4 linked regions of the Styela clava genome follow. The protein of the gene in region 1 purifies or fractionates together with the protein of each later gene. This does not show direct contact. Links are inferred from orthologs where the notes say so. Each region holds a gene or a part of one and is shown in the gene's direction. Other genes may lie near its edges. The genes, in order: uncharacterized protein LOC120345481, U5 small nuclear ribonucleoprotein 200 kDa helicase-like, ATP-dependent RNA helicase A protein-like and uncharacterized protein LOC120343293.

Region 1 (7,303 bases):
TCACATTTACAGATCCGGTATTCCTGTTATCCTGGCACAATTGGACTCACCGACTTTCCACATGAACTTTCAGACAAATACTACTGGACGCAATGGATTTACAGCCAAACCGTGGAAAGTAATAATTTTGGGTGTGAGAACCTCGTCGCTATACAGGCAAAGACACAATTTGGGAACAAGTTTGCCAGCGAAACTGGAGATGTGTTCGAGCATTTTGGGCCAAATGCCGGATTTACATGCAAAGATAAGCACCAATTGAATGGAAAATGCAATAATTACAAGGTCAGAGGCTTATGCCAACGGGTACAAAAGAATTATGGATCGATGGATTCTTCCTTCAAGTCGTTAAAGAAAGAAAATGCTCTAGACCCAAATAAAATGGGTGTGCCTTTATCTGTATTGCACACAAAGTCTGCCTTCTGCGAACTATTTGGGATATGTTGTGATAATGTCCGGAGTAAACACGTTAAAAACGTCGTTCCATCGTCGGTACTTCTATCTGCCCAGTATATGTGCAAGGAATACAGACAATGTTGTGATGTATAACATATATAGGTGATAACCACTGAAATATTGAGGCAACTGAATTTTGCTACATTAGACAATCATGCTTTTATTGCCAACTCAAACAAATCACTAGAAATAACACCAAAAAAGCGGTTGATTGTTATTATCCGAGACACCCTGTGTCGCAATGTATATATAAAAATAATTTTTTATTGTATTTTTAATAAAATTGCATGTATCTGAGTGATTTCTCAGTTTATGTCTTATAATTAAACGCCATTAGCAAAATGTTTTTACTATTTATTCAATTTTTTAAATGAGTGCTTCAAATGCAACATGGGATAAACAATCTCAGTGATAGAAGAATGCAGATAAAATCCAAGATAATATTGAACTAGCGTTCCGCAATATTCATCCTTGGTTTCTAGAAAGGATTAGCTCAGGTTTCGAATGATTTCTATCATTCATAAAAATATATTTCAGAGTAAGAAAACATAATAACAAAATTTACAAGCTTCAGTAAACAGATGTCATTTGTATAAAGTCCTATTTGCGAGTACGCGGGAATTTGCTTGTGCGAAATTTAAAAAGTTGGACATTGACTATTTTACAGAGTATATTTTAAAAAAATATATGGTGTATTATCTCATAATAGCTTCATATGGAATATAATATTTTGCGACAGCGAAACAACAAAAAAAAATGTACTTACCTATTCACTCTATATTATGATAAATCAAAAATTTGAAGGCAAGCTGAAAGTACTTCAGATTTACCTGTTATCAAAAATGTTAGAAACGAAAGTAGGAAATACTTATTATTATACTATATTTTAGAAATAAATCACCACTGACGAGTTACGTATGGGTTCATATTTGGTACTGAACTAGCAATTCAAAACTGTCAGAGAAAAAGTAAAATAGCAAGGAATTACACACTCACGGCGCACTTGTACGAAAAAAAAGGCTGCATTTAAATGAAACTCAATTTTATTATATGCCTTTCAAAGTTTGTAAACATTTAGGCCTATAGAACAAAGGCAAAAGGTCAACTATTCTTCCTCATCTCTGCCTGATTTTCCTATAAAATTGTAAACTAATCACTCATGTTCGCTAAACCCGGTCCAACAGATAAATAAACTGCAGCAAAGAGTGTCTCTCTGCATTGTTATGTAACAATACAGGCAGACCCTACCTAACAGAAAGTAAACGACATAGAAACGTGGAATGAATTTATTGATTCATATACACAGCATTTAAAATATGAAACAATAAAAAATTGATAATAAATACAATTTGTGAAATATTCAATCATATTTTAGTTGTTTTTAAACACAATTCTGTTATTTTTCGCGGCGAACTTAGCAACTCGGCGCGGCGCACCGTTTGGGAACCGCTGTCATAGAGGATTTAGGCATATTCTGCATCCAAGAATAATCAAATTTGATGGAGAGACTGATGCCATTCAATGCTACTTAGGCCTAAGTTGCACTGAAAAAATTTTCAGGGATGTAAGTTTCGAATATTTTATTTTCGAATATATATATATATATATATAATTTGTAATGGTAATTCTGATTCTGTATAACACCGCCCCCCCATCTACACTGATAAATATGCCATAGTCGTTATATTTAAATACAATTATAATTGAGTTAGGAATTACGGAATAACAGCGTGGAATCGCACCTCAAAATTAGGGGGGGGGGGTGTTTGAAATTTTAGGGGGGGTGTTCACCCCCTATAGGGGGTGTAGGGATATCACTGGATCATATGTGTACACATCTGGATTAGTCGAATAACATTGAGCAAAACCATATGTACAACCCATGATGGTTGCGGTTTATCAAAAGCTGTAAATGGTAAGGAAAATATACACAAAGGGCTGAGGTATTCGATTTTGCAGAAACCCCAATGCGTCGTGCTATCACTTCATATAATCTTCATGAATAATTTTTTCTTTTTCAAATAGTACCACGACGTATTTTTTGAAATTTCTCCGAATTTATGTTTATTCATATCCTTATGTAAAATGATGTATTCAAACCCTGTGTCTCTCAGAACACGGATGATTAATCTTAATGTTAGCTCATGCCCTAGATATATATATTTATTGTCAATACTGTATCTTTAATGGATTTTTCCAGAATCGTGAGAATTTTGAGACATTTTAAGCAAACCGAAATAATTTGATCGTCAATGAAATATTTGGGTGAATCTATCAATCACCAACTATCGGCGCGGTGGTGTGGCTCAACGGGCTAAGCGTTAGGAATACGCTCGCCACCGCACCTCTAATTACTCTGCGTGGGTTCGCAGGTTCGAACCCCATGCAGGGATGGTTATGTGCGAGAGGATTGCTGGACTCCTCGCCATCGTTGGGTGGTTCACGTAACCGCTGGTCGGTTACGGCTTCCTCCACCACCAAGTCCATGCTTCCGAAAAAAACAAACAATACAGTAAAAAACTAATCCCATACCCGACTTGGAATGGTAACCGGACGAGAGGCCGTGGTTCGCCATATGGATAAGCCGTCTTATCGGCTTTCCTCTCCCCCGGGATAAATATGTAAATCCTATCCTATCCTATTTCCCAACAGTATCCAGTGCCGGATTCATCATTATGCAAGGTAGGCTGAAGCCTAGGTGCCTCGACATGCAATTTTGCAGGCTTGTTTAAAAATTTTACCGGTTTGAATATTTTTTGATTTGAATATTAATGGGTTGATAATTCTTGTCATCATTTTTTTCCCGTTATCAAATAAAAATTAAAGGGAAGTAGGATAGGATTTACATATTTATCCCGGGGGAGAGGAAAGCCGATAAGACGGCTTATACATATGTATAACTGTATTGTTTGTTTTCGGAAGCATGGACTTGGTGATAGAGGAAGCCGTAACCGACCAGCGGTTACGTGAACCACCCAACGACGGCGAGGAGTCCAGCAATCCTCTCGCACATAACCATCCCTGCATGGGATTCGAACCTGCGAACCCACGCAGAGTAATTAGAGGTGCGGTAATTAGAGTCCTGAAGTATGCGTACCAAGGTGGCGGACACCGGAACGTAGAATGTGTACCAGGTTAGGGTTGGGCCACAATTTTATTCCAATTTTCCTTATATTAGTTCTGTTACGAGTACGAGTTACTTTTGTCGGTACAGTCGATAACCGAACCGGTCGATGGGCGAGCGTCGATGTAACCCGACGCTATCGATTTTCTCGCTTTACTTGTAAAAATTAAAATTTGTCATTACTCACGTGACTAAATCCTTTTGCTTTGCCAGATTTTTCATGAAAGTTTTTTTCGACTTGTCATCTATTGTACTCCTTTCTGTCAGCCAATTGAACGGTATTCGCTAAACACCGGCACAAAAAATATAATAGTTTTCAACTACATTTTAATTGAAACAATGGTTTGTACTATAATATTATTTTGGAAATTTGCAGTGGCAAAGGAGACATTCGAGTTGACAACACACACACGCACAAGTGAAGATGAACAATTATCTAAAGACTCTATATTAGAAGAAACACATTCTTGCACTTGCTAAAACTGTATTTTAGACAATAAACACTGTGGTTTTACTTTACGGTCGAATTTGATAGATCTTGACTTTCTTAGTAAATAAATGACGGTAATCAAATAGAAAAAAACTGGCAACGTCAATTCAACGAATAAGCGTGTCGTACTGTCGTCGCTGATTTCTTTCGCTTTCCCGCTTTTCTGCTTTCAGACGATTTATCCGTCTGTCCTTGGTCGACTCTTCAAGCTTATTTGTGGAACAGGATTTACTTATTTATGGCGTCTTCTAATTCTCGTAAGTGAATTATTTTATGTCATTTTCTTATTCAACATTTGGAAACTGTCTTTATTTTTAAGCAGTTTTTATGAAATAATAATCTAGTAACTAAGCGCTCCGTTCACTCAGACTGCTGGACTGTCTGACTGTAGGTAGGCTATAACCCCGACATCAAAAGACATCAATTATAAGAGTGATTGCAAATCCTCCTTTACGAGACAGTCTGGGCCTCCATATTGACTCAAAACCGCAATATTTTTTTTCCAAGCATTACTAGGTAAATATGAATAACATAACCAGCGATAAATAAAAACAATCATCGTTGCAAGTGAGTCCTGTTAAATGAATTTATCGAAAGCAATTTAAATTAGGGCCGTCAAATTGGCATTTTCAGATTTTAGAGTAATTTATGCACGAATTTAAATCTGTCAATTTGATAATAGGACCGGCCACATGCATGCTACAGTGCTAGATAATATTTATCGGGTGACTATATACAGATATACAATGTGGGGAAAAAAAGGCTTTCGGAACAATATCGTTATCAATCGTCCTTCGCATATTATAGGTGTCATGACAAATTATTCACTGTATTTCAGCCTAAATTTTGATCCACTTTTTTCATTTTTTTTGTTATTTTTCTATATCAGATAATGACAAAGTGACAGTAAAATAGTTGGTCCAAAGTTATAAGACGACATTTAATCCAAAATAATCTTGAAAGGGCTGCACTGAAAATCCTACGGTTGTAATGAGCATCATTATCAATATCATCATCATTCAGTCATTTGAGTTTAAAAGAATCCAAACATATTTGCACTGACAGTAGGCTTTAAAAATATTCAAATAATCAAGTTTGAAATTAAATTTGTAATTTGTACTTTCCAGAATATGGATCCTCCGGTGGATATGGACAGCCATCTTATGGTGCATCTGGTGGACAGGGATATGGACAATCTAATTACTCTCAAAGCGGGGGTGGCACTCAAGGTTATGGTCAGCAGGTAAATTGTATTTGAACAGTTTTAAAATTTTAAGATTGAATTTACGTTAGTAAGACATCAAAATTATAATAATGTTAAATACATTAGCCTATAATAATATTTATACCTGAATTTAGAAAAGAGTTTTATTTATTACGATATTCAATCAATAGTGAACCATCGTTGCTTCTGGCAATCCCCGTTTTGCATAATCATTGGTCCCTACAAAATGTTAAAAAATTTTATTTTTTGTTCAGGGCTATGGATCAGCTGGTGGGCAACAAAGCGGAGGCGCAGGCGGAGTGACTAGTGCCCAAGGATATGGTTCAAGCTATCAGCAACAGGGTGGTTATGGCAGCTATGGATCGAACAACCAATCTGGAGGTATGTGGTAGCAATATAATTATGACTGAGACAGTGAGTCAGAGTTTGACATGCTTTTATTGATATAAAGTCGGAGTCCTAATAGAAATAGAAGTCTGACTTCCAAACATTTGCTTGGAGTCAAAATCACAGATGGAAACTAAAATGTATTGGGTTTATTGGGCGTTTTCCAAGTCTTGATATAAAATGAAATAAGGCTTGAATACATCAACAAATTATCTTTCGTAGCTGGAATTCTGAGTTGAAATTGCTTCAATCCGATATCATATGCCAAATTTTTATTAATCAGGAATCGGACGCATGGTACAGCAGTCATTTTTGAAATAGCTCAGATTTGATAATCTCGTTTAAATCCCCCTTAACTCAGCCCTGGTTAAATCGTATGTATTTGATTGGTCATATCCTGTACTACATATCAATTTTCCAGGCCAGGGTTATGGACAACAGCAGACTGGAGCTGCACCTGCTGCTGCTGCTTCTGCTGGTGGTAGTACTAGTTATGGTGGTCAGAAAAACAATAGCGGCTACCAACAAGGTGGAGCCAGTGGACAGCAATCTGGACAACAGCAAGGTGGTGGCTATGGTGGTCAGCAACAACAGAGTGGTTACAGTGGACAGCAAGGTGGTTATGGTGGACCACAACAAAGTGGTTATGGTGGTCAGCAGCAAGGTGGCTATGGTGGACAGCAGCAAGGAGGATATGGGGGAGGTCATCGTGGTGGACAACAGCAGTCTCAGCAATCGTATGGATCCGGTGGAAATTCAGGTGGCAGTGGGAGCTACGGCCAGGTGAATTGAAATTTTGTTTTGGGTGAATTTGAAAATGAACTGTTTTTATAATGTTTGTTTTCTTGCAGTCTGGCGGAGGTAGCAGAAATCAATCATACGGCCAACGGGACAGTGGTTCCGGGGGAGGTTCACAGTCTTATGGTCAGCAAGGTGGTGGGGGAGGAGGCGGCTACAGAAATGATCAGTCTGGTAAGCTGGACTATACTCGTTTAGTTTCAAACAATATATATATATATATATATGATTAATTTATATTGCTTGATACATAAGTTTAAATAATTATAAATTAATATTCCCATTTCTAACTTACTTATTCTTATGGCATGCTAGGTGGTGGAAACTACGGTGGAGACCAGGGTCCCAATAACTATAATCAAAGTCAACAGGGGCCCATGGGGCAATATGGAAATAAGAACCAGGGTTATCAAGATAGAGGGTATGGTTCTGGTGAGTAACTTAGCCATCTGTTTGATGGTTAGAGTGTGAAATTAGCAATATCATTTAAAAAATATTTTCCTGCTCAAGTAGGAATATAATTCAATCACTGTCTGTGTTTTTTAAATTTTTCGCTGAGGTGAATTTATGTTACTGACCTGTAAATGATTGGCTATTTCAGGTGGCGGAGGTGGTAGAGGATATGACAGTAGGGGGGGTGGACGAGGAAGCAGATTTGATCAAGGTGGTGGAAGAGATGGTGGTGGTCGTGGTAGAGGTGGTGGTGATCGTGACAGAGATAGCAGTGGATATGGTGGTCGAGGTGGCTCGCGTTCTTCAGATTATGGAAATGAATCACGGTACGTATTGTTATTTGTTTGAAATGACCTATTTCACATAATACCAA
Region 2 (7,865 bases), on another chromosome or scaffold:
AGCTGATGATACGTTGGCTGGGCGTATGCTTTCATACAACAGAAGCAACAGAGCTGTAGCTATTCTTTGTAACCATCAACGTGCTGCTCCCAAAAATTTTAGTGAACAGATGCAAAGAGCAAGAGAGAGGGTATAGTTGTGCTCTATATTAATATTTTGTCTCAAATCGTCAATCGTGACATATCAGATAAAAATGCTAAATTTATATCGCTGTCTTTACAGATACAAAAGAAACAAGACGATATAGCAGATGCCAAACAGGAAGTAAAAAGCGCAAAATCAGACTTCAAGCACCATAAAACAGAAAGCAACAAGAAAAAATATGAAACTAAAAAGAAAAAGGTTGAAAGACTGCAGGAACAATTAATCAAATTGGAAGTACAAGCTACTGACAGAGTATGTTTGCACATTTTGTGCTATATTAAGATAGCATCGACACAATATCATAGTGAACAATATACATTTTCAGCAATATCAATTGTTCAACATAATCATTAATATTCGATTTGTATTTTTTATATTGCAGTGTAATTTCATGTATCGGTTATTTTGTAATTTCAGGAAGAAAATAAGGAGATTGCTCTTGGAACATCTAAGCTCAATTACTTAGATCCACGAATCAGTGTTGCTTGGTATGTTCAAAATCTTTATTCTGTTCTTTTTATGCCACTTTACTCGGTGAAATTTGTGTTAACTTTTTTGGTTATCTGGGCTATCATTATTTAATTTAATTCTTTACCTTGGTAACCTTAAATACAACACTAATTTCTATTAAACTTATTATATTTGTTTCAAGGTGCAAGAAGTGGGATGTTCCAATTGAGAAAGTCTACAATAAAACTCAACGTGACAAATTTGCTTGGGCAATAGCAATGGTGGATGAAACATATGTTTTTTAAAGCTATTATCTCAACTCTTTATTTTTTACTAATTACTTCCTTGATTTATTTTGTTATGGTTTGCTAAATTTATTCGTCCGGGATTTTCCAGTTTTAATATCATCGCCCTGTTTAGTGGTATGTTTCAACAGTTCAGGGATTGCTGGCGCTCTGTATTACAGTAATTCGTACTAGTTTATCGCTTCATCAGTCTCAGCATTTATAAGAAGCAATATCAACGATACACAGGTTAATAATTGGATCAGTATTTGTGTTTATATATGGCCTTGTGAACTATTTTCTTTTATAACCATAGCTTTTTTAACCCATGAGGGTCTGGAGCCTTTATTGTGAGGGATAGTTCAGTCTATGGCCAATCATTAAAAATATCGATTTTGTAACTGTCAATATATTTGCCAACTTCATTTCTTATGGTCTTGGTACAAATCATTTGCCTATTAATGTGAGGCCAATAAAGGCTCTGGCAATACTACTGCTTTCTTAGGATTTCGCGGTTCTTATAATGATAATGAAAGTTTTGTACATATCTTCTTCTAGGCAATTTTCTATATTTGCTGCTTTATGGTGTCCGCTTACATTTTCTTCACTAAGTTTCATCTCGAATCATATAATAACATAAATACGGAGTCTGATTCAGTGATGGAGCTTATGAAGAATTTTTAGGTTTTAAAATCTTTCGTTTGTTCCTGAAATGAATTGATCTATATCAAACCATAATCGACTGACTGCTGGTCGATTGTGATAGATTTTGAATTTTTATGGAACTCTAATTTTATGTTACATAGTTCGATAGTTTAAATTCCTTTTTTGTGAGGTAGGTAACAAGGTATTTATCTCTGCATTTTTTAAGTGTTCTTATTTCATTTTGGACATGCTTATACCAACTGGAAGCTCCATAGAAACATATTTTTACTTTGTGGAAGTCCCCTTGTTAGATGTCATTACATCTATATCTTCGAAAGTTTTTATTCCACTGAATAGGATTTTTGTCACAAATTGAATTTTTTCACTACCATTTCCGTTGTATACAAACTTTATATTGATTGCCGGTTCTATAGTATGAAATTTGTATGTGACCGATTAACTGCTAATATTTTTGATTGTTTTATTAAATGCACAAGGAAGTATTTGTAAAGCATGCTTGTTGTTTTTCTTAGTAAACCATGGGGAAACCATAGTGAAGCAGAGCTCATACAAACATGAATGTTAAGCTTTATAAGCAAGTTACGATTCTGTTAAAACTGCATCCCTGAAACCAGCTTTAGTTCTGGGTAGCCTCGTGATGTTCAGTTCAAAATTTGGCACTTCTGAAGGATGCGTACCGAGATGGCGGACACCAGAATGTAGTTTGTGTACCAGGTTAGGGGTTGGGCCATAGTTTCAGGTACAAATACTACGGTGGTCACTTGGCTTGTGACAGCAATTTTAGCCTGTGCCCATGTTATATATTCATGAAGCTGGCTTGGTTTAGGTTCAAATCCTATACTTGTTTGAATCAGCCTCTTTTAAGTAGGAACAAGGATTTTTAGATAAACAGTTTTTATTTATTTGTTTTATCAATAATTTTATTACCAGTTATGCTGATTATGGAGTTGAAATAAACTTCTACTCACAAAATACAAAGTGACGATGATACCGCGCGTGGACTCTTCCATTGTTTTCGGGTCTGTGCATTTTCTCTGCATTGTTTTAGTTTTTATTATCTCATTGGACACTGTGGTAACTTTTTTGTATCAGCTCGATGCATATATGTAAAGTTTCAGTGTGAAGGTGGTTCTCACATTGAGTCTGTTACACCTAAATTGTCGTTATCATTATCCGGCAATTAGGTGTGATTTCCTTGACTCCGCGCACATCATGCCGACGTTTGTCGTGCGTTCTCAGTTTTTGAAAGTTTCTGATCCCCACACGCGTTATTGTTATAGGTATAATTATGAGATTTTTTGCGGTATTGCAGTATTGGGAGAGACGTCTTTATCACATGGCTAACCAAGGCTTTATCGATATAGATTATATAAAACATCAAGACTTGTTGCAGAATTTGGTTTTGGTGTGTGTGCGCTAGCAAAAAATAAAAAACGGTAATTTAGCGTTTTCAGGTTTTGGTTAGAACATTGCAAACACACGAAAATTCCTCTTTGTCAAAAATTGGAAATAATTTCGACACTTTAGTTCGTGTCAGTGATTCAATGAAAAGTTTAGTCTATTTCATGTTCACGTCTTCATGTAATGCCATGGAGCACTGTGATTTACTAGAAACTGAGAAATGCACTTGAGATTTCATGACACAGGCATTTGTTCATCTTCAGTATATCTACGGTACAGTCACAGATATAAATAATACAGTAATATGCGCCGCCTCGGAAGTGTAAGTCATCATGCTAAGGCATAAGGGTTAGGAATACGCTGATTAGGTTCGTAGCGGTACTGTATTACCCCAAGCAGGGGTAATTCCAGAATTCACAAGTTCCAATTTTGTTGGGGACGTCGGTTAGGCATGGATCCCGCCACCATCATGCAACTTAAAGAAATAACTGGCTGACTAATCCTGTAATCCCATACACGGCATGGGCTGGTGACCGGATGCTGGAATGAAAGGCCTGGTTATGCTATAAGATTAAACCATATTTCAAACAAGTATAGACTCGAATGCCCTTTTATATCAATAGCGATTTACAGATTTTCCTGTGCTGAAGGGTAATTGAAAGATTAAGCAAATGAAAAATTTGTTAGTGACATATTAGTTGAACAAAGTTTATTAAATATTGTAAAATGAACATTCAAACTGTTTAAAAGCTTGCAAAAATCTGTACCCAAGGAAAGTTGTTAATTCTCCCTGTCATATTTTCGAGCATCACTCTCATAGATCAGTAGAGTATAGGGTGGCTTACCCACTTAGCGGCCATGACCTATCTGCGACCATCAACTTCATCGATTAAATTAATGCCGTAAAAAATAACGAACCGCGCTGATATTTCTCACGCGTTATCGTCCACTTATCCCTCGTAGCTCTGCGAAATTACACTAAAATGCGGCCACAAATAAAAAAGTTACGACCGAAAAAAAAAAACGGACCATTTTACCATGTCGCCAACTACCCATTGTTCCTTCAAAAAAGCTTGAAAATCCATACAAATATAAGAGATAAAGAGATGAAACTTGGCAGGTGGGTAGAGTTGTGTTTCTTTTAACCATCTCTAAAGTTTCGCGTTTCTATCTTCAAAGTAGGGGGGTGCGCATTTCCAATATGTCAATAATATCTTTGTCAACTAATTTGCGACCACCGTGTTTTTGTCTGTTTGATTGCTGTGATGCGGTGCTTTGTTTATAATTTGAAGAATTTTGTTTGAAATAACCGTGTTCTTAAAATATATGACGGTCAGAAATGCAATTAGAAGCCCATTTTTCCACGCATGGCTGCGTTTGCCCTAGTCTCGACGCAGCAGAAACGATGTTCAAGGCTTGAAATCCGTGATCACAAACTGGTCGTTCGGTCCCAAATACGTCTTCAGAGTGTCGTGTAGAATAAATGCCAATGCACCTACGGTGAAAAAATTAACGGGTTAGAAATATTGGTTTTTGTTTTATAGCGGTTTGAATGAAATTGTCTGCAGACTGGCTGCACCACCCTAAGACTGTTGTGCAGAATCACATAAATTACTATTAGACGGAGGTTATGAGTGGGGCAATACATACAATATGCTTTGCTAGTTGAATTTGTTTAGAAAAACTGCATCAACCGTTTTCACATGTTATTATTTATGTTTTACCACAGATATATTAAATCTGTAGAGGAATCGCTGTCAATAAAAAAACAGCATGGCGGATGCCTCCGCCCGTTCACTGCAATATGAATACAAAGCCAATTCTAATCTTGTATTGCAAGCAGACAGATCACTCATTGATAGACGACCAAGAGATGAGCCGACAGGAGAAGTCATCTCATTGCAGGGAAAATTAACTGGATCAAAAATGGGTGATAGAGCGCAGCGTACAAGACCACCACAGATGGAAGAGCGTCGAGCAAAGCGATACAAGCGTGACGAGGATCAAAAATCTTCTGTGAAATTGAAAGGAGCAACTCTGTTATCTGAGGGAATGGATGAGATGGTTAATATATTATATAAACCAAAAACAAAAGAAACTAGAGAAACGTACGAGATTTTACTCAGCTTTATCCAGGCTGCATTGGGTGACCAACCAAGAGACATTCTTTGTGGCGCAGCTGACGAAGTGATAATTGTTCTTAAGAATGATAAACTGCGTGATAAGGAAAGACGAAAAGAAGTTCAATCACTGTTGGGAGTTCAAGAAGATACTCGCTATCATGTTTTGGTAAATTTGGGCAAAAAGATTACCGACTTCGGCACAGATAAGGATGCTGAAACCGCAGATGATAACATTGATGAAACATATGGTGTCAACGTCCAGTTTGAATCGGATGATGAAGAAGAAGACCAAGAAAACAGGTATGGTGAAGTTCAGGAGGAATCTGAAAATGAAGATGATGATGAAGAAGGTGGCGTAGAGGCAGATGCGAATATGGTTGTTTCTGCTAATCTTACCAACGAAGCCGGAAATGTCAATATCATTAAGAATCGTGGACTACATCCTCGCGATGTTGATGCTTATTGGCTGCAAAGAAATTTGAGCAAAGTTTATGATGATGCAATCGTTTCGCAAAAAAAGGCAGAAGAAGTCTTGGAAATTTTAAAGACTGCGGTTGATGATTTACAATGTGAAAATCAATTGGTAATGTTGCTCGGTTTCAATCAGTTTGATTTTATCAAAATTTTGCGTGAACATCGACAAATGATTCTATATTGCACTTTACTTGCGAGTGCACAAAGTGAAGCTGCAAAAAAACAAATTGAAGATAGAATGAAGAACGATCAAGAATTGTCAGTGATTCTCCAGCAACTGAACGAAACTGAGAAAGAAGATATCATTAAAGAAGAACAAGAACGCAGAGAAAGATTACGCAGAAGCAAAGTTGATGCTGATCTAGAAGCAATGGAAACTGACCAGACAGATGAAACTTTACAGCCAAGCAAAGGGGTTGATCTTGAAGATATCATGTTTGAACAAGGATCTCACTTGATGGCAAATAAAAAATGCCAGTTACCAGATGGTTCTTATCGCAAACAACGTAAAGGTTACGAAGAAGTGCATGTACCTGCTTTAAAACCAAAAGTTTTTGCTGATGATGAAAAACTTGTTCCAATTGATACTTTACCCAAGTATGCCCAAGCGGCTTTTGAAGGGTTTAAAAGTTTGAACAGGATTCAGAGTAGACTTTCCAAGACTACACTAGAAAGTGATGAGAATATTTTGCTGTGTGCCCCCACTGGTGCTGGAAAAACAAATGTTGCACTCTTGACTATGTTGAGAGAAATTGGCAAGCACATCAATTCTGATGGAACGATTAATGTTAATGATTTTAAAATAATATACATCGCTCCAATGAGATCACTGGTACAAGAAATGGTTGGAAATTTCGGAAAACGGCTTGCCGCTTATGGCATCAAAGTCAGTGAAATGACAGGTGATCATCAGCTTTGCAAAGAAGAAATCAATGCCACACAAATTATTGTCTGCACACCGGAAAAATGGGATATTGTGACAAGAAAAGGTGGTGAACGAACATACACACAGCTGGTACGTCTGTTGATTATTGACGAGATCCACATGCTTCATGATGATCGTGGTCCTGTCCTGGAGTCTGTTGTTGCAAGGACAATTAGATCCATCGAAACAACTCAAGAGGATGTCAGACTTGTTGGACTTTCTGCTACTTTACCAAATTATGAAGATGTTGCCACATTCTTGCGTGTTGATCCCTCCAAAGGGTTGTTCTTCTTTGACAACAGTTTTAGACCATGTCCTTTAGAACAGCAATACATTGGCATAACAGAAAAGAAAGCAATCAAGAGGTTTCAGGTTATGAATGAAATTGTTTATGAAAAAGTTGTTGAAAATGCAGGTAAAAATCAAGTTCTGATTTTTGTTCATTCACGAAAAGAAACTGGAAAAACTGCTCGTGCTGTTAGAGATATGTGCTTGGAAAATGACACTCTAGGACATTTTTTGAGAGAAGGATCCGCTTCCACAGAAGTTTTACGAACAGAATCTGAGCAAGTAAAGAATTTAGAATTGAAAGATCTTCTGCCATACGGTTTCGCAATCCATCATGCTGGAATGTCAAGAGTTGACAGAACATTGGTTGAAGATTTATTTGCTGATCGTCATATTCAGGTACTTGTTTCAACAGCCACACTTGCTTGGGGTGTCAACTTACCTGCTCATACTGTCATCATCAAAGGCACACAAGTGTACAGTCCAGAAAAAGGTAGATGGGTTGAATTGGGTGCACTTGATGTACTTCAGATGATGGGACGAGCTGGTAGGCCACAATATGACACCAAGGGTGAAGGTGTTCTTATTACATCCCATAGTGAATTGCAATATTACTTGTCGCTTTTGAATCAACAATTGCCTGTAGAAAGTCAAATGGTTGCCAAACTGCCAGATATGCTGAATGCTGAAATTGTGCTGGGTAATGTTCAGAATGTCAGAGATGCTGTGAACTGGCTTGGGTACAGTTACCTGTACATTAGAATGCTTCGACAGCCTACTTTATACTCCATAAGTCATGATGCACTAAAGGCTGATCCTCTTTTACAACAACATCGTGTTGACTTGATTCATTCTGCTGCAAACATATTAGATAAAAGCAATTTAGTCAAATATGATAGAAAAACTGGGCACTTGCAAGTGACAGATTTGGGCCGGATTGCTAGTCATTATTACTGCACCCATGAGAGCATGGCAACATACAACCAACTACTGAAACCTACTCTGAGTGAGATTGAATTGTTTCGAGTTTTTTCACTTTCTTCTGAGTTCAAATACATAGCAGTTCGTGAAGAAGAAAAATTGGAACTGCAAAAGCTTTTGGAACGAGTG
Region 3 (7,791 bases), on another chromosome or scaffold:
ATTAATAAAAAAAAACTTGAAAGCTGCATAATATTATTATTACTGGCATCCAGCTAACTTATTCCAAATCGGTTAGGTGCTGTCACAGGATCTTCATCCATCGCACGCAGTATTGTCTATAGCCGACCCTGTCTGTAAGATGGAGGAAGGAAAGTGAACTGTAAGATATGGAAGGTTACTTTGTTTTATGTTTCAGCTGTATCGGCATTTATCAGATGAATTCATTTGGATTGTTTTGCACAGTCGCAACGTTCGTTTTTCAATTTATCATTAATTTAATCTCTGAGGTGTTCAGATGTATTATTATTATTCAGAATGAGATTGAATTGGGGAATCTATTTCTAGACGCTATAGTTCAGTGAAAGTTGAACTCTAAAATTTTTAAAGTGAAATTTGACAAAGTCTACTTTTTTACTCAACTTAACTGATCAATAATATAATAATTCAATTAATAATTACCATGCAAATCGGCCTAGTAGAACAACTGTTCCTTATAGTCGCTTACTTTGTTGCTTTGTTCTCTTTTTTAAATTTGTCTTGTTTCTAGAAAAATATGATTAGTTTCAATTTCATTTATTTGTTTATTCTGAAAATTCGTAAATGTAGCAAAATGAGCTGTGTCATTGAAACAAAATATACAAAAAACAATACACTATCCTGATAGATTTTCTATTGTAAATTGACACAACCAACGAGCACGACCGATAACAAGCTTTTAGTTAGCCTTAGTTTTCATTTACTTGGAAATGAAAAAAAAACTGTAATAGAAAGGATAAAATCAATAACACCTGCTGTTATTAATTTTGAAAATAGTATAACAATATTTTAAAGCCTACTATAGTCTCAGTGATCCAGTCAATTGGGTAAGCAAATTCAATGTACTGTTGCAATGCATTGATAAAATTATTACTTATATGTATTGAATTCTTGAAAAATAAACACGTCAAGAATGTTTTCACAACAAGCCATTGAAGAATCATCTCGGCCCGCTTTTTCAAATTTGAAATTAAAGTAGAAAAACATTTTATAAATTATGTCGTATAATTAGCGAATTATTAATTAATTAGTGATGAGACACGCGGTGTCACTATAGAGCCATGAATCGAAACCGCAGTTTCGATCGATAAGTCTTCGGTCTCCGACCGATATTATCGTTTATTGATTGGTGGTGAACATAAACTTAAATTATATTCGATTTATGGAGTCTATTTAAAATAAAATAAAAAGTTTTTTACAAGGTAAATATTGCTAGTTCAAAGTGTTTTGGCGGGTTATCTCTAAGGCTCCGACCAGAGATTATATGCTATTTCAATGGCCAGATAAGCTGTAGATCAGGGGTGTCAAACTTGCGGCCCGCGGGCCGCATGCGGCCCCAGAGAATTTCCAATGCGGCCCTCGAACGCCTAACAATAAATGTAATATATATTTTGTTACCTAAATGTAATACATTTTTCAAACCCTAAAGTGAAACTGCTTATTCACACAGAAAACGACAATTATAACATTGGAAAATTGAATGTTTTTGTTTTCAATTTGACACAATTATGTATGGATACACCTCAAGCTAGCAAAAGAATACTTGTAAAAAAAACACTACGGGAATTAAATGAAACACAAAGTACATGAAAAAAGTGGCAATTTTAAATAAAAGGGGAGTTGCAATATTTCTGCATTTCTCAAAATTCTAAAGCGCATTGATCAATTTTTCACGTTTCTATCAGTAAAATGAAAGAATACAATATGAGTAGACATCATCAGAATAAGCTCAGCAGTCAATATGACAATTTTAAAGATCAACTACGAACAGAAAATATTTATGTGTTTGTATACTATTATGATTATACCATACTTAGTTACTAAATATCAATATCAATCATAACTCAACCGGTCCTATGCCACGTGAAGGTAGTGGCGGGAAAAGTTTGGTTCTAAAATTTGTTTGTTTACTGATCTATACATGGAATGATGAACGTAATATTTTTGCATTAATGAAATTAATCAAATATTCTCAACGATCCAGATTAACCGATGATCATGTGACCTCGTTAATCAGAGTTGATACTGTAAAATCATTTCAGCCTGATATTAGTAAGCTGGTGGCACAAAAGAGATGTCAAAAGTCAGGACATGTTCAATAAAAAACATTGAGTTCATTCTGTAGCAATATTGTAAATTTTAGATCTATATATTTAGATTAAGTCATTTTTAGTGTATGTATTATTCTTTCCTTATCAAAACTTTGTTCAAAAATATTTTGGATAGTTATACATAAAATAAAATTTTTGTAATAAATACAGTAAATTGCAAAAATAGTGAAATGCAAAAATTAATATGTAAATGGTATTTAAAATTTAAGAAAATAACAAAACTTCATTTGACTGTTTAATTGCATCACAGTATATGTCACAAACTACACCTATTTAAAATATGCTTCAAGTATACATTATCAAAATATATCAAATCTGTTTGCGGCCCTTTGCACAATTCCCAAAATGCAATGCGGCCTTCAAACCCACGAGTTTGACACCCCTGCTGTAGATTATCTATTATATAACATAAGCGTGTAATATTTACCCCTGTGTAACGACTATCGTCGCATGTTTGCAAACGTAAATTCCCCAGTCTATAGTCGATATTTCTTTGTACAACAATGATCCACACAATTGTCAAACCATGCAGTATATCTACCGGTAAATATAAATACTTGATAAATAAATATATTCACACAATTTTTATTTATTAAAATATATATGTAATACGTTTTATATAAAAGGATTCGCATAGACCTTCAATTTTGTACAATGAAATTTACACTAATTTACTCTAATAATTGGACGCTATATGAAACGGGTGTTGCTAACGTGATATTCATAGTAGTACCAGGAACAACGAAAAGACATTTTAAAACATTGGTTGCAATTGAGCGTATGGGAATGGAACTTATATACTGCTATCGACCCACATTATGAATGCAACAGATTACCAAATTACAAATGTGTATAAAACAAGAAACATTGTGCAAAATGAAAAAAGTCTAACTTATTCGGGTAACCAAGTCCCACTTGATTAGTCCGTACAACTTTGTATGCCCATCTAAATATATATAAAAAAATTGTCTCACCGGGGAATCAAACTTTGGTTTAGGTTTAAATTGGATTTCATAAAAGATTGTTCTTTTATCTCGGAAGTTCCTTGCTTCAACCTTTTTGATTATGTTGTTTATCTCGCGATTATCGACACTTGAAATCTTGATTTGCCGGAACCCCTCAAGTTTTATAATTCGCTATTTATAAAACATAATACCAAAAGTAGCAGAATTGTACCAGCGACTTAGTATATATATATATTTTTTATCAAAAAACATCTGCTTACCTTAATGTTGTAATGTTGCGCCAAAAAAAATTAAAGACTACGGTACGTTGAAAAGCTCCTACAGAACAGACAAACCGTTCGTCATTACTAACTCCAGTGAATGGTTGAGAAAAGCGAAGCGCACATTCCCGCTCAAACTGATTAGCGATATCACATTATTAATTAACTGTGATCAAATTAGAAAACGGTCGAAGAAGAGGTAAGTAATTACTCGGACGATCCCTTGGCCCGGCGATATCATGTGTTTTTTATGGTATACTCCATGTTGATGCGAATTTAAAAAATGGCAACAAACATTGTTGCATTTTGATAGGCGTATGGTTATAAAATAGCAATCATAATTCTTTGATTATGTTATGGTTTAAGTATGTTACTCTATTTCTCCTTTCCCAACGTTAAATTGGAGGTCTTAAGATTATCTAAAAATCAGTGATATTTAAGGCAAACTTTTCAAATGATATAGTGCTACTGGTAATTTAAACCTAGGCATGTTCTAATAATGGGTTAAGCTCGGCGTGAGAATGATGCCGGACTGTACAGTACTTGACTTTATAATTTTCAGTACGTGAGCAGGGCTTGCAGAATAGTGCCCGAGTTTGTTATTTTCTGTGAACAAATATGGAGTCGTCGAATTATAGTTATAAACGCGAGATTTGACCAATGCGCAGTATGAGTGGTACACTGTAGTTACGGAGCGTAGTTTTATTCCCGTTTTCTCCATGTCCACAGCAATCCTAATGCGTAAATAAATTGTATTGTGCAGCGCTTGAATAAGACATGACGAATCTGGTGGAACTACGAACGAACTTTTTGAAAGTGACTCTGGCGGAGGTCACAAATTTTAGCCGAACAAAGTCCATTATCATGCATCGGAAAAAAATAACTGATATTTATAAGTAAATGGATATCGGTTATCATATTTTGTATATTTGAAAATCTCGCAATTCTCATAGCCGGCGCCTTCAGCTTCAACTTAAAACCTGCATATAAATGTGTAGGCCAAGCCAGCAATTTGGTGATTCGAGAAACCTTTACCATTTTTGGAACCATGTTTTAACTTGAAAGACTTCCCTGTTTTAACCACATTCTACAGTTCTACGTCCAAGTAGGCCTTAGTAGGTTTTAGTCCTTTCTATTTCTGGAATGGCTGCGAATACATTTTTCATACTGCTGTCTTCGCCAGCGTTTAATTTTCTGAATTAAGTTGACGGTTGAGTTGAACTAAACTGTATGTATCGGTATATTTCAGTATTTAGATTTTATTGTAAGTGCCTCGTCGTCAATTCATGCATTATGTCCGATTTCCCGTTGCAGCAACGCCAACGATCTCAACATTCTCAAAACCCTGCTTTTGCAAAATTTGTTAACAAAACTGATAGGAACGTTTCTGTTGAATGGCTCAACTTTCAGGGAAATCATGTTGTGTATAAAGACAGATTAGAACCAAGAGATTATATATTGATGGATACTTTCAAGACACATCCTTGGGTTTTTTATGAGAGTATTTGCAGGTACGGTATGGATGTTCAGAGTGGAGAGTACGGTACCGGTACTGGAGTAATTTCGGAAAATATGCATTAAATTCGTAAAATTCTTGTCATAGAATGTGGCAAGAATAATCTGCAATCTAGCAATTGTTAATACAGAGACTGAAAGATGATGCATGGATTGGTAATGCAATACTGCAATAATAGATTTTGTGAGGTTTCAAGGTACCGTACTTAACCCATCTCTGTACTGCTGTACAGCAGTGTCTAGTCTACCTAAATGCAGAAATGTCTTGTGGTACATTGCAGCGTTGGGTTAGTTGTAGTCTATGACTCTATTCCATGTTTAGCATTTAATTATTCTTCATGACCCTACTATATACCGGTATGTCAGTATGTTAGAAAACATTATTTGCGATTATTGATTTCAGGCATTAATCTGTTAGCCGGTATTTTTACCTTCATTTTTAATTATGGTTACGGTAATTCAGCAATTACCTACATTATGCATGAACTGTATCATTGTATAACCTACGGTAATTTCTAAATTTACGAACCACTTTTCTGCATTTAACTCACAGCCAGATGAGAGATTATGGCAAAATATTTCAATTTCTCAATTTTATCTTCATTTTCAAATTGGATTTCCATTGTGAAAATATCAGTTTTGCTGAAAGAACGGTACTCTCGACGATCTGAATGTTAAAACTACATTTTTGATTTGAATTCTGATTAGACTAATTTCTTTGAATATAGTCTAGTATTGTAGTAGGATTAAATATTATTTAATCTCCTTCTTTGCTTGAGAAATTTATTCATATTCCTGCATTCACTCTCCACTCAAGAGTATATGTTTTTTTTTTCTTCAGACATCCACTCACTTTCCTTCCTAACTTTGAGAAAATCTACTTTCCTGTTGAATGGAGTGGAGAACATCAAAGATTTCATTCCGTTGAAATTGTGAATCCTCTTTTGAATTTAAGGCAAATATGCTTGAACTACTTGCACCGTTACTTGGTGGTAAATTGTGAATATACCTCTATTGCTACATTTGACTCGAAAGTTGATCAACTCTTTGATGGATTACCTGTTGTATTAGCTAATGACTTGAAACAGTTATCGAAAGATCAGGATAATAAAAACCTTCCTATTTATTTTGAGGGAGATTAGTATCTATAATGTACAGGTCAGGATACCTACCTTAATACTGTTTACGGAAAAAATTGGCTTGAGATCTTTGGTACTTTAAATATTTTGATTGTCGTATACTTAATCTCTAATGTTTATTTGATTTTAATTTTAGAACATAAGATTGTTGTATGAGTATAATATCAACTAGTATTTATTTAAAAAACTTACATTTCTGACACAAATTTTATATAAAATGATTTTAGACTCGGCAATTCTTTCTTAAAAAACCTATATATTAATGTATATTATATGTTTTATAAAGCTGATGCTTGTTTTTATTTTTTCTATTCTAACATTATGCAAAAGTCTTCAATTTTTGTACCTTTCATTAACTGTCGTTTATTATGCACTCCAAACCTATTGTCCGAATGTTCCTAGTGAGGTAACATCTCATTAAGTTTCTAATGCAAATTTGGTGATGCTACTTGATTTTTCCGAATTGAAATTGAAGTTTAATGTGTTTATTGGTTTTGAAATGTAAAGCTAGGTTTCTTCTAAATAAAAACTATATTGCAAGTATCTTGTCAATACCTTTTAATATTATTAGTTGAATATCGTAAGGTCTCTCTGTAGTATGACATTTTTTCATTATGACTGAAGTCAAGACATTTGTATATTCATGGCTTGGAAAACAAAAGCTAACTCCAGTTTATGATGTTCAAGCTGGTGGCAACAAGTATAAACCAAGATTTAAATGTGAGGTAAGCAGAGAATATCGTTCATTGCATTTTTCAACTGAAGTGTCAACTGTCAAGCCATTTACTACATTTGTGGTGAAATGAATAAACTTATTATTTGCCACATGAGTGGATTGGGATAAATTTTGCTCCATTAATGATGATTTAACTTTAACAAAGCCAATTTGGTAATAAGGAAAAACTATTTATATTGCCAATGACATGCAGTCTTGAGTTGCTTTGAATATTCGAGTGTTTTTTTCATTTCTGTAATATGTAAATTGCTTCACTGATTGGATTTGACTATTTTAGACATATAATATGAAAATATAGTAAAGTTTATAATTCTTTAGGTATCAAACTTAATTTATGTTCAACTATTATTATTATTTTTAGCTCAGAGTTGATACAATACCTTATGCTGGAATAGGAAACTCAACAAATAAGAAGGATGCCCAAGCAAACGCTGCCTGGGATTTTGTTAATTATCTTGTTCGAGCTGGAAAAATGAAGCCTTCTGAAGTACCCCCAAAATCGGTTCGTATTTATATCTATATAAATACATGATTATCATTCAAGGATATTTTGTTTTTTCTCTTATATGTTTTGTCCTGTATTATATCCATTCGAGATTTGAAATTTATACAGTAGTATCTTTTGTCACTAGCTGGAACCTAAATCTTGAACTTGTTTAAAAAAAATGACAAAATGCTAATTTCTTTAAAAAATTGCCATGAAAAAATAACTTCACATGAAAATATGATGGGGACTACTTGTACATGTAATGATAACATGACACGACTACTGGAATATTTAAGAGTTGCTATTGGATCATATCCACTGTTGGTGCCAAGATACAGGTAGGCATGGACCTTCAAGCCGAATCTGTACATGTTGTACAAAAATAAAAATTTATTTAAAATTAAATTGGTTAAATTAACCATTTGTAGTTTGATAGGAATAAACTAATTTACTAAAATCGTTTAATTTTCCCCAGGGTGTCCGCACTGGTCCTATGGTGCCACCAAACAATGGATCCCAATTTTCCAGCACTGGCATGATGA
Region 4 (8,267 bases), about 14 Mb from region 1:
AACCATCGTACTTTCTGGATTTATTTGAAAATTGAATATGAATAATAAAATCTGGCAACCTCAAGCACAAAATACTAAAACCAGGCACTTGTGAAATTTCAGGCACTTCGTAAAAACCTATTTCTCGGTGTTTTTACTTACTTTGAAGCAGAAAACTAGAATATACACTCTTTTGTATGATTGAAATGACGTCTTTTTGGTAAAAAACAAGAACGATTGGGACTGGTCATCAGGGGTCAAATTTCGCAAGTGCCTGATTTTTCATTTTTTCCGACAACCGTTGCCATATATTTTCGCAACAATTTTTCTAGATTATTTGCGTCAGCACTTACTATTCTTTGCTTTCTAACGCAAATTCATTGTTCGACAACAATTTGAGCATTTTTAATATTGCAATGAGCAATACCATTTGACAACATATGATCAATCATCGTACTTTCTGGATTTATTTGAAAATTGAATATGAATAATAAAATCTGGCAACCTCAAGCACAAAATACTAAAACCAGGCACTCGTGAAATTTCAGGCACTTCGTAAAAACCTATTTCTCGATGTTTATACTTACTTTGAAGCAGAAAACTAAAATATACACTCTTTTGTATGATTGAAATGACGTCTTTTTTGGTAAAAAAGAAAAACGATTGGGACTTGTGATGAGGGGTCAAATTTCGCAAGTGCCTGATTTTTCATTTTTTTCGATTACAGTTGCCATATATTTTTGCAATATATTTCATAAAATCATTTTCGTCAGAACTTAGTACTTACTATACTTTGCTTTCTCGGTAAAATGTTTTTTAGACAATCCGATGTATATTGAGTGCTATTCTTATCGCTAATTTCAATTCGACGTCTGCCCGAAGGTGGTGCAAGTAATTATATTTGAAGTGAGTACATACCTCTTCAAAACGCCCAGATGGAATATTGAACAAGTCGGAGTCAACAAAAATTCAATCACATTTGGAACGTTGTCGCACTGCATCGTCGCCACTCATATACTCTGACATTCCGATGCATGAATTTTGCTTTCTGGAAAATAATAATTGGAGTGTCTGTTAAAGTGCGAAATGTATACGGGAGCACGTACAATATCAATGCTTCGTTTGCAAGCGTTGGTATCATTATACATGTGAGAAAGTATCGAAAGCGAAATTGTGGAAGTGTAAAATTTGTATTCGGTAAGTCGGTGTTGCCAATGTGGGTATTTTCAGGGCGCTCCCGTAGTAGCCTATGTGCTCCAAGATACTATGTTCGGGTTGTGTGCCAACTTTGTGCACATACTACGGGAGCACCATTTTCTGCACAACCTATTCTGATGCTCATTCGCGACATGAAGAAACTATACGCCCGACATATAAAAGTAGAAAAATATACACAAAACCTTTTCATGTTTAATTTCAGAACTGACATTTAGAATTTTCAATTCTTAGATCTGTGGTTTTACCTAATTGCAAGATACGTAAATCATATCATGTCAAAATTGAAAAAATAGTAAGGATTTTCATTGGATACTCAATATTTCTAATAATTTTCAAACTGAAAGCTTCGATTAGTGTTCACTCATACACTTCCCTTGTGAAGTTGTGTTTTTAATGTTTTATCTCCTTAATAAATTTAAATTCAAATTTATATCCCCAATTACTGATGAAGAAAAATCTATAATCGAGAGTTTAATACGGCTTCTGTGACATTAAAAACAATTACTGTTTTACGTTTTTATATATTTGTAACTTTTTGAATAACGCAAAAACATTTGTTGACTGACTACTGGCGTGTTGAATATTGAAGGATTTTTATTGTAATATTCGTTTAACGATGCTTTTAAGCCTAACTTTGGGCATATCAGCTACCTGATGTCATTCGCGGAGCGAATTTTGTTTAGGTGACATTGCCATCTCGTATTTACCATCCTGTAGCCATTCTTCTTATTTAGGAACTACGTGTTTTACAGTTAGCTGTTACAGCATGAAATAATGTACAAATAATTCTACGTAAACTATCCATGAAAAGATATTACAGTCAGATCTTCAGGTTGTAAAGAATATTATACAACAGCAACAGCAAGTGATTGAATATCTTTATTGTAGCCGTGGTTGAACACCGCTGGTTGTCAATATAGATTTTGCACAGGCTTTTATACATTTTGTGAACGGTAAATTATGTTCTATTAGGGGATAATGTGACTTGGATACGTTTTATAAAAAATTCTATACGACATAAGTCAATTGTTTCTGTTATGTAGTTTATATGAAGTCATAGGCCAAATTACATTATTAAAATCGTCGTCCGATAACAATAATTAAAACTGGAATTTTGAACTAATATTGCCAGAAGACGAATTAGGTTCTTTATAACAATGCGATTGTTGCTACCTGGGTAATATATTACGTCGAAATGTTTATAACAAATTAGAAGAAGTTTTGAACCAATTTCAAGGGTTCCGAACATTACTATAAAGATGTAGTCTGAATAACTAATATTCTTTACAGATCTGTCAAATTTAAACCCGTATTTAAATAATACATATGTCATACTTTTCAATTAATAAAAATAAACAACACAATGTCATTCAAACTTTACAATATTCAAATAGTTTTGCAAAAGCGTGATTGGTTTAATTAAATACCGATTTCCGGATGTAGATACTGATGTTAAAAGTTTAATTCCATTTATGCTAAGTGAAGCTCTCATACAAACATTGACTTTTATAAAATAATGCAATAGGGAAACAACATATAAAAAAAAAGAAAAAAATTGTAGAGATATGGCAACTACCATTGACAAAACCAAAAAATCAGGCACTTGCTAAATTTGCCACATTCCTACCAGTGACAGTTCTTCTTGTTTTGAACAATAAAAATACCAAATTCAGTCATACAAAATATGTATATTTGGATTTTCGGCTTTAAAGTAATCAAAAACATTGGGAAATGGTTTTTCACAAAGTGCCTGAAATTTCACAAGTGCCTGATTTTAGTATTTTGTGCTTGCGGTTGCCAGATTTTATCATTCCTATTCAATTTCAAATAAATCCAAAAAGAACGATGGTTATCTATATGTTGTCAAATGATATTGCTCATTGCATTATTAAAAACGCTGAAATTGTTGTATAACTAGGAATTTCCTTTAAAAAGCAATGATTAGTAAGTTCTGACGAAAAAGATTTTATGAAAAGTATTGCAAAAATATATGGCAACTGTAATCGGAAAAAAGGAAAATTCAGGCACTTGCGAAATTTGACCCCTCATCACAAGTCCCAATCGTTTTTCTTTTTTACCAAAAAAGACGTCATTTCAATCATACAAAAGAGTGTATATTTTAGTTTTCTGCTTCAAAGTAAATATAAACATCGAGAAATAGGTTTTTACGAAGTGCCTGAAATTTCACAAGTGCCTGGTTTTAGTATTTTGTGCTTGAGGTTGCCAGATTTTATAATTCATATTCAATTTCAAATAAATCCAGAAAGTACGATGGTTGACCATATGTTGTCAAATGGTATTGCTCATTGCAATATTAAAAACGCTCAAATTGTTGTGGAACAATGAATTTGCGTTAGAAAGCAAAGAATAGTAAGTGCTGACGCAAATAATCTAGAAAAATTGTTGCGAAAATATATGGCAACTGTTATCGAAAAAAATGAAAAATCAGGCACTTGCGAAATTTGACCCCTCATGACCAGTCCTAATCGTTCTTGTTTTTTACCAAAAAGACGTCATTTCAATTATACAAAAGAGTGTATATTTTAGTTTTCTGCTTCAAAGTAAGTAAAAACATCGAGGAATAGGTTTTTACGAAGTGCCTGAAATTTCACGAGTGCCTGGTTTTAGTATTTTGTGCTTGAGGTTGCCAGATTTTATTATTCATATTCAATTTCAAATAAATCCAGAAAGTACGATGGTTGACCATATGTTGTCAAATGGTATTGCTCATTGCAATATTAAAAACGCTCAAATTGTTGTGAAACAATGAATTTGCGTTAGAAAGCAAAGAATAGCAAGTGCTGACGCAAATAATTCAAGGAAATAATTGCGAAAAAATATGGCAATTGTCACCGAGAAAAATGAAAAATCAGGCACTTGCGAAATATGACACGTCTCCATCAGTCACAAACGGTATTGTATTTTACCAAAGTGTTGCAAATTCAACCATACAAAGTGTATATATTTAATTTTCTGTTTTAGAGTAATCAGATACATTGTAAAATAGGTTTTGACCAAGTGCCTGAAATTTCACAAGTGCCTGATTTCTATATTTTGTAATTAATGTTGCCACATTTTACTATTCGAAAATTATTTATACCCTAATAAATTGAAAATAATATTGTTTTATTGCAATATAGGGATGCAAAAAATTGTTTAAAGTCTAATTATCTTGTCAGGTAAATTGGAAATCCCAATGACGACGGTAAAAATAAAAAATATCAAAGTGCCTGAAATGGTGCCTGAAAAAGTGCCTGAATTCGCAAGTGCCTGGTTTTAGGGAGACCCGATAGAGGAACGCAAAAACACTAAATCCTGGAATTACTGAATTAAAGCTTCAATTAATGTCCGAATGTACCGGTAGTAGACTATTATGACTTAAAACATTTAAAATAAACATAGGTCTGTAGGTGTGTGTGCAATATTAATGTGTACATTCAAGTGTATTCCAGTATTCTGGCATTCCTCATTGTAAATCTAAAAATTTAAGACACCTAAACACTTTTCTATCTATTTATCTTTTTTCACTCCATTTTTTTGATGTTAAAGCGCAATCATAGTAAAGACCGCAGAATATGACAATCCTACAATCATTGAATTGAAGTGTTTCGTAGTTCTGTTTCTGGTTCGTGTTTCTGGCATTCATAGAGAAAACACCATTTCTACCATTTTCTCAAAGTTTCAATATACGATACATTTTGAAACTTCTCTGGTTTTAATGTTTACTGGTTAATGATCTTTCCCGTTGATTTTAAACAAATATTTGTCAAACGAAAATTCCGCCATGTCAAAATCTATATATCAAACAAGAACAACCAAAAGAAATGATAAATTATGCAACTTGAAAGTATATAAATTTCTTTTCACAGTTTAGAATAAATTACATCTGAACTTAAAAATAGCAAGATGTCTTCAATAAATCCAAAAAGGATGAAAGTAGCAGAGTTGAAAAAGGAATTGGAGAGTCGTAGCATCTCTGTCACAAAAAATATGAAAAAGGCTGATCTTGTAGCTTTGCTTCTTTCTGCAGTTGAAAGTGAGTATACGATTTGTATTGAATCATATTTTGTATTATCATATAATATATATAAAAGTAAATCGTTATTTTCTTTTTTTGTCGAAGGCGAAACAGGACAAGAAAGAGAATTTTCATCGTCAGAAGCGCCAGACGATTCTGCACAGAGTGAAGTTGAAGGGGGAGATTCAATATTAGAGGATGAAGTATGTTATAATATATATAGTTTTAAAGTTATTTTTTATCCACAATCAGTTATAATAATATTTTTTATCATAATATTTTTTTGTCAGTAGTTCGACACAACATTATGGTAACATTTAACAATTCAACCTCGATCGGCCTAATTTAAAACATTGGTTATTTGCTAGGCAATCTGGATTCATTATCAGTTGCTCTTTATAATATTGAGAGAAAATGCAAATTTTTGGCTCATTTTGCAGCCTGCGGAAGAGCCACCTCCAGAAGTGAGTGAACCGAATCAAGAGGAAGCAGGCGGAGAAGAGTTTGAATCTTTTTGTACAGCAAACGATGAAACAGAACAAGTGCAGGAACCAACAGAGGATGTTGCTGAACCGACGCCAGTTGAACAACAGGAACCTCAAGAAGAGGAGAAAAAAGAAATTGAACAACAGATCGAAGAACCTCCTCAGCCTGAGGAAGCCGAAACGGAATCAAAACAAGAAATGGAAACTGCGGAGCCAGTTGCAGAACCTGCTGTTAGTATAAATTTTTCAAAGTTAGTCACTGTTGAATGTATTTGTAAACCCTCTGTGTCTCTTTTCATATTTCAACTTTGTGTCCCCTTTTATATTTTGTTTCAATCCAGTGGACCTTCTGGGTAAAGCGTTAGACTTGAGTATGTTGGCATGGTAAGTTATAAATCTCTGTTGAAATCTCATGCCTGCGCTTAACCCAGGGTGTAAGAAATTAAGTAGGCAATGGCAAATTGGGCAAGTTCCAGTCATTCAAAAATATAATAGCTCTTGCCTAGCAGTGACTGCTCGTCCAGAACCTTGTTCATAGTGCTACTGCAGTCATCAATAGAAAACCAAATATTCGAATAATGTCAATGATACGTTGGTTCAATGTATTGTTTTTTCATTATTAAAAAGATAAACAAAACACTTTTTATTCTTAAATAGGATCTTCTGCTCTATTGTAAAAATTAGGTTCTCAGTATGAAAATTAAAAACTTTTCTTACTTGGATGACAATTATATCCAATGTTATTGAGCATGCCGGTCCTAGTCTCTGATATAAAATTGAATTCGGAATCTACTCGATATCATTAAAATTACCTGTTTGTAGAAAAAGGCTACATTTGTCCAGTTGACATAGTTTCTTTCATTATTAATTATATATTCGAATTTTTTTATGACCCAATTCGAATCATCTAATTTAGGATTGAATAGTTTGGCGTGATACGCTATGCTTATAACGTCCTGTTATACTGACTGTTTTCATTTATTGTTCGTATATAGCAGACTGAAGAACAAGAAGAACAGAAACCCGCAGAAGAAGTTAGTGACGATGCTGCAGCTACAGATCAAACTGCAGACGTAAAACAAGAAGAAGGTGAACTATTGAGAATTTTGTAAAACTATTTTTCGATAAAATTTATAAAATTCATATTCATGATGCATTTATTGAATTATTAACATAGAACAAGCTCCAAAAATTGAGCAAGAAGAGTTCTCAACTCCACGAGATGTGCAAGATGTGGAAATGTCTGAAAATGTGGAAGATGCAGAAAAGAAGAGTGAGAGTGCAGAAACGAAAACTGAAGAATCTGGTGAAAGTAAGATTGAAATATAATTTAGAATTATGGGGAATTACTGGAAAAAAGCATACAATACTGTGGATCGATGGTTTTCGAACTTTTCAAGCCGCGCTCCCTTTTTAGAATTTGTCAAGAATTAGAATTTGTTGTAAATAATAAAATAAATGAAATGTTTTAAACACAAATAAGGCCTTCAAAATCCAGTCTAACAAATATTTTTAATCAGCTTCACGCTCCCTCAAAAAAATTTTTCTGTGAAATATTTCATTGATGTGTCAATTTTTTTTACTATAACTTGAATTTTTGCTTTTTTTCAATACAGCTGGTGAAAAAACAGATGAGAAACAAGCAGAAGAAAATGGTGATGAAAAACAAGAAAGTAAAGGTAATTTGACAAATACTCAAATATTTTTTTTCTTAAGATTTGTCATTAAAACGTTAATTTTCATTATTAAGTTAACCTGTTTCAGACGCTCAATCGAGCCCAATTTTGAATACATTTTTATTAATGTCATACGACCCCCAAAATTTACCCAATATACAATAATTATATACCATTGGAAAGGTATTTTAGAGTACTATACGCTAGATGTCACTGGAGGACCGTAAACTAAAACACCTCTTTCAAGAGGTCTCTCGTAACGTCAAAAAATAACAAAAATATTTACACTCTCTCATTCGATCAGCTGTTGGTCGTCTATCGCTATTGTAAAGCTGAAATGTGACTCTACAGTTGACTGCACATTGGTTTTCTCTTTCATATGATACTAAACGCTTTTCCATAGCGCGCGTTGTTCAAACGTTTTGGAAATTTTCCGTTTGAGAAGTCACCACATCGAATCAGGCCAGGCTAAGCTTGATAGATCGATCGGTTGTTTGTTTGTGCTTTATCGCGTTGAAAGCTTTTGTGAGTCATAATAAAACATTTATTATGAATCATAAAAGCTTATAATCGTCACACAAGGAGAATTTGCGAGATAAAACGCCTAACTTTTTTTCGGTGAGGCAGCTGCGATCAAACGACTCGATATTTTTATAACTTCCTGACGTTGTGAGATGTCCACTCTCCTATGTTATGTAGCATATAAAATGACCTTCAAAATAAGACCTTATCATACTAGCTTTTGTTATTGGTTTGCGCGCAACGCCAAGGTTTATGGAATCATTTTCTTGTTGTGCGACGTTTTTATATCGCAGCGGGAAGTACACGCGTGATATGTAAGCGAAATTTTATCACTTCTAAATGTCATATAAGGTTCATTCTCATATCGTT

The links.
Region 2: the proteins of uncharacterized protein LOC120345481 (region 1) and U5 small nuclear ribonucleoprotein 200 kDa helicase-like purify together in Homo sapiens (affinity purification with mass spectrometry; 3 studies listed by BioGRID and IntAct, with this or other methods). This does not show direct contact. The link is inferred for Styela clava from reciprocal best matches to the Homo sapiens genes FUS and SNRNP200.
Region 3: the proteins of uncharacterized protein LOC120345481 (region 1) and ATP-dependent RNA helicase A protein-like purify together in Homo sapiens (affinity purification with mass spectrometry; 4 studies listed by BioGRID and IntAct, with this or other methods). This does not show direct contact. The link is inferred for Styela clava from reciprocal best matches to the Homo sapiens genes FUS and DHX9.
Region 4: the proteins of uncharacterized protein LOC120345481 (region 1) and uncharacterized protein LOC120343293 purify together in Homo sapiens (affinity purification with mass spectrometry; 3 studies listed by BioGRID and IntAct, with this or other methods). This does not show direct contact. The link is inferred for Styela clava from reciprocal best matches to the Homo sapiens genes FUS and HNRNPUL1.

What each region holds. Positions count from the first base shown.
Region 1 is NC_135250.1:20,547,254-20,554,556, forward strand, and holds the start of uncharacterized protein LOC120345481, read left to right. Parts: upstream 1-4,166; 5' UTR 4,167-4,305; coding exon 4,306-4,324; intron 4,325-5,194; coding exon 5,195-5,310; intron 5,311-5,546; coding exon 5,547-5,673; intron 5,674-6,100; coding exon 6,101-6,462; intron 6,463-6,530; coding exon 6,531-6,651; intron 6,652-6,792; coding exon 6,793-6,909; intron 6,910-7,078; coding exon 7,079-7,256; intron 7,257-7,303. Other genes in the region: salivary peroxidase/catechol oxidase-like, read left to right, coding at 1-546. UniProt on the Homo sapiens protein: DNA/RNA-binding protein that plays a role in various cellular processes such as transcription regulation, RNA splicing, RNA transport, DNA repair and damage response. Binds to ssRNA containing the consensus sequence 5'-AGGUAA-3'.
Region 2 is NC_135263.1:8,545,057-8,552,921, reverse strand, and holds the start of U5 small nuclear ribonucleoprotein 200 kDa helicase-like, read left to right. Parts: upstream 1-4,678; 5' UTR 4,679-4,718; coding exon 4,719-7,865. Other genes in the region: DNA topoisomerase I, mitochondrial-like, read left to right, coding at 3-130, 223-396, 562-632, 797-899. UniProt on the Homo sapiens protein: Catalyzes the ATP-dependent unwinding of U4/U6 RNA duplices, an essential step in the assembly of a catalytically active spliceosome. Plays a role in pre-mRNA splicing as a core component of precatalytic, catalytic and postcatalytic spliceosomal complexes.
Region 3 is NC_135252.1:13,018,281-13,026,071, reverse strand, and holds the start of ATP-dependent RNA helicase A protein-like, read left to right. Parts: upstream 1-4,503; 5' UTR 4,504-4,883; intron 4,884-5,728; 5' UTR 5,729-6,640; coding exon 6,641-6,751; intron 6,752-7,123; coding exon 7,124-7,264; intron 7,265-7,724; coding exon 7,725-7,791. UniProt on the Homo sapiens protein: Multifunctional ATP-dependent nucleic acid helicase that unwinds DNA and RNA in a 3' to 5' direction and that plays important roles in many processes, such as DNA replication, transcriptional activation, post-transcriptional RNA regulation, mRNA translation and RNA-mediated gene silencing.
Region 4 is NC_135250.1:6,302,331-6,310,597, forward strand, and holds the start of uncharacterized protein LOC120343293, read left to right. Parts: upstream 1-5,069; 5' UTR 5,070-5,103; coding exon 5,104-5,233; intron 5,234-5,320; coding exon 5,321-5,418; intron 5,419-5,655; coding exon 5,656-5,931; intron 5,932-6,695; coding exon 6,696-6,789; intron 6,790-6,877; coding exon 6,878-7,012; intron 7,013-7,316; coding exon 7,317-7,379; intron 7,380-8,267.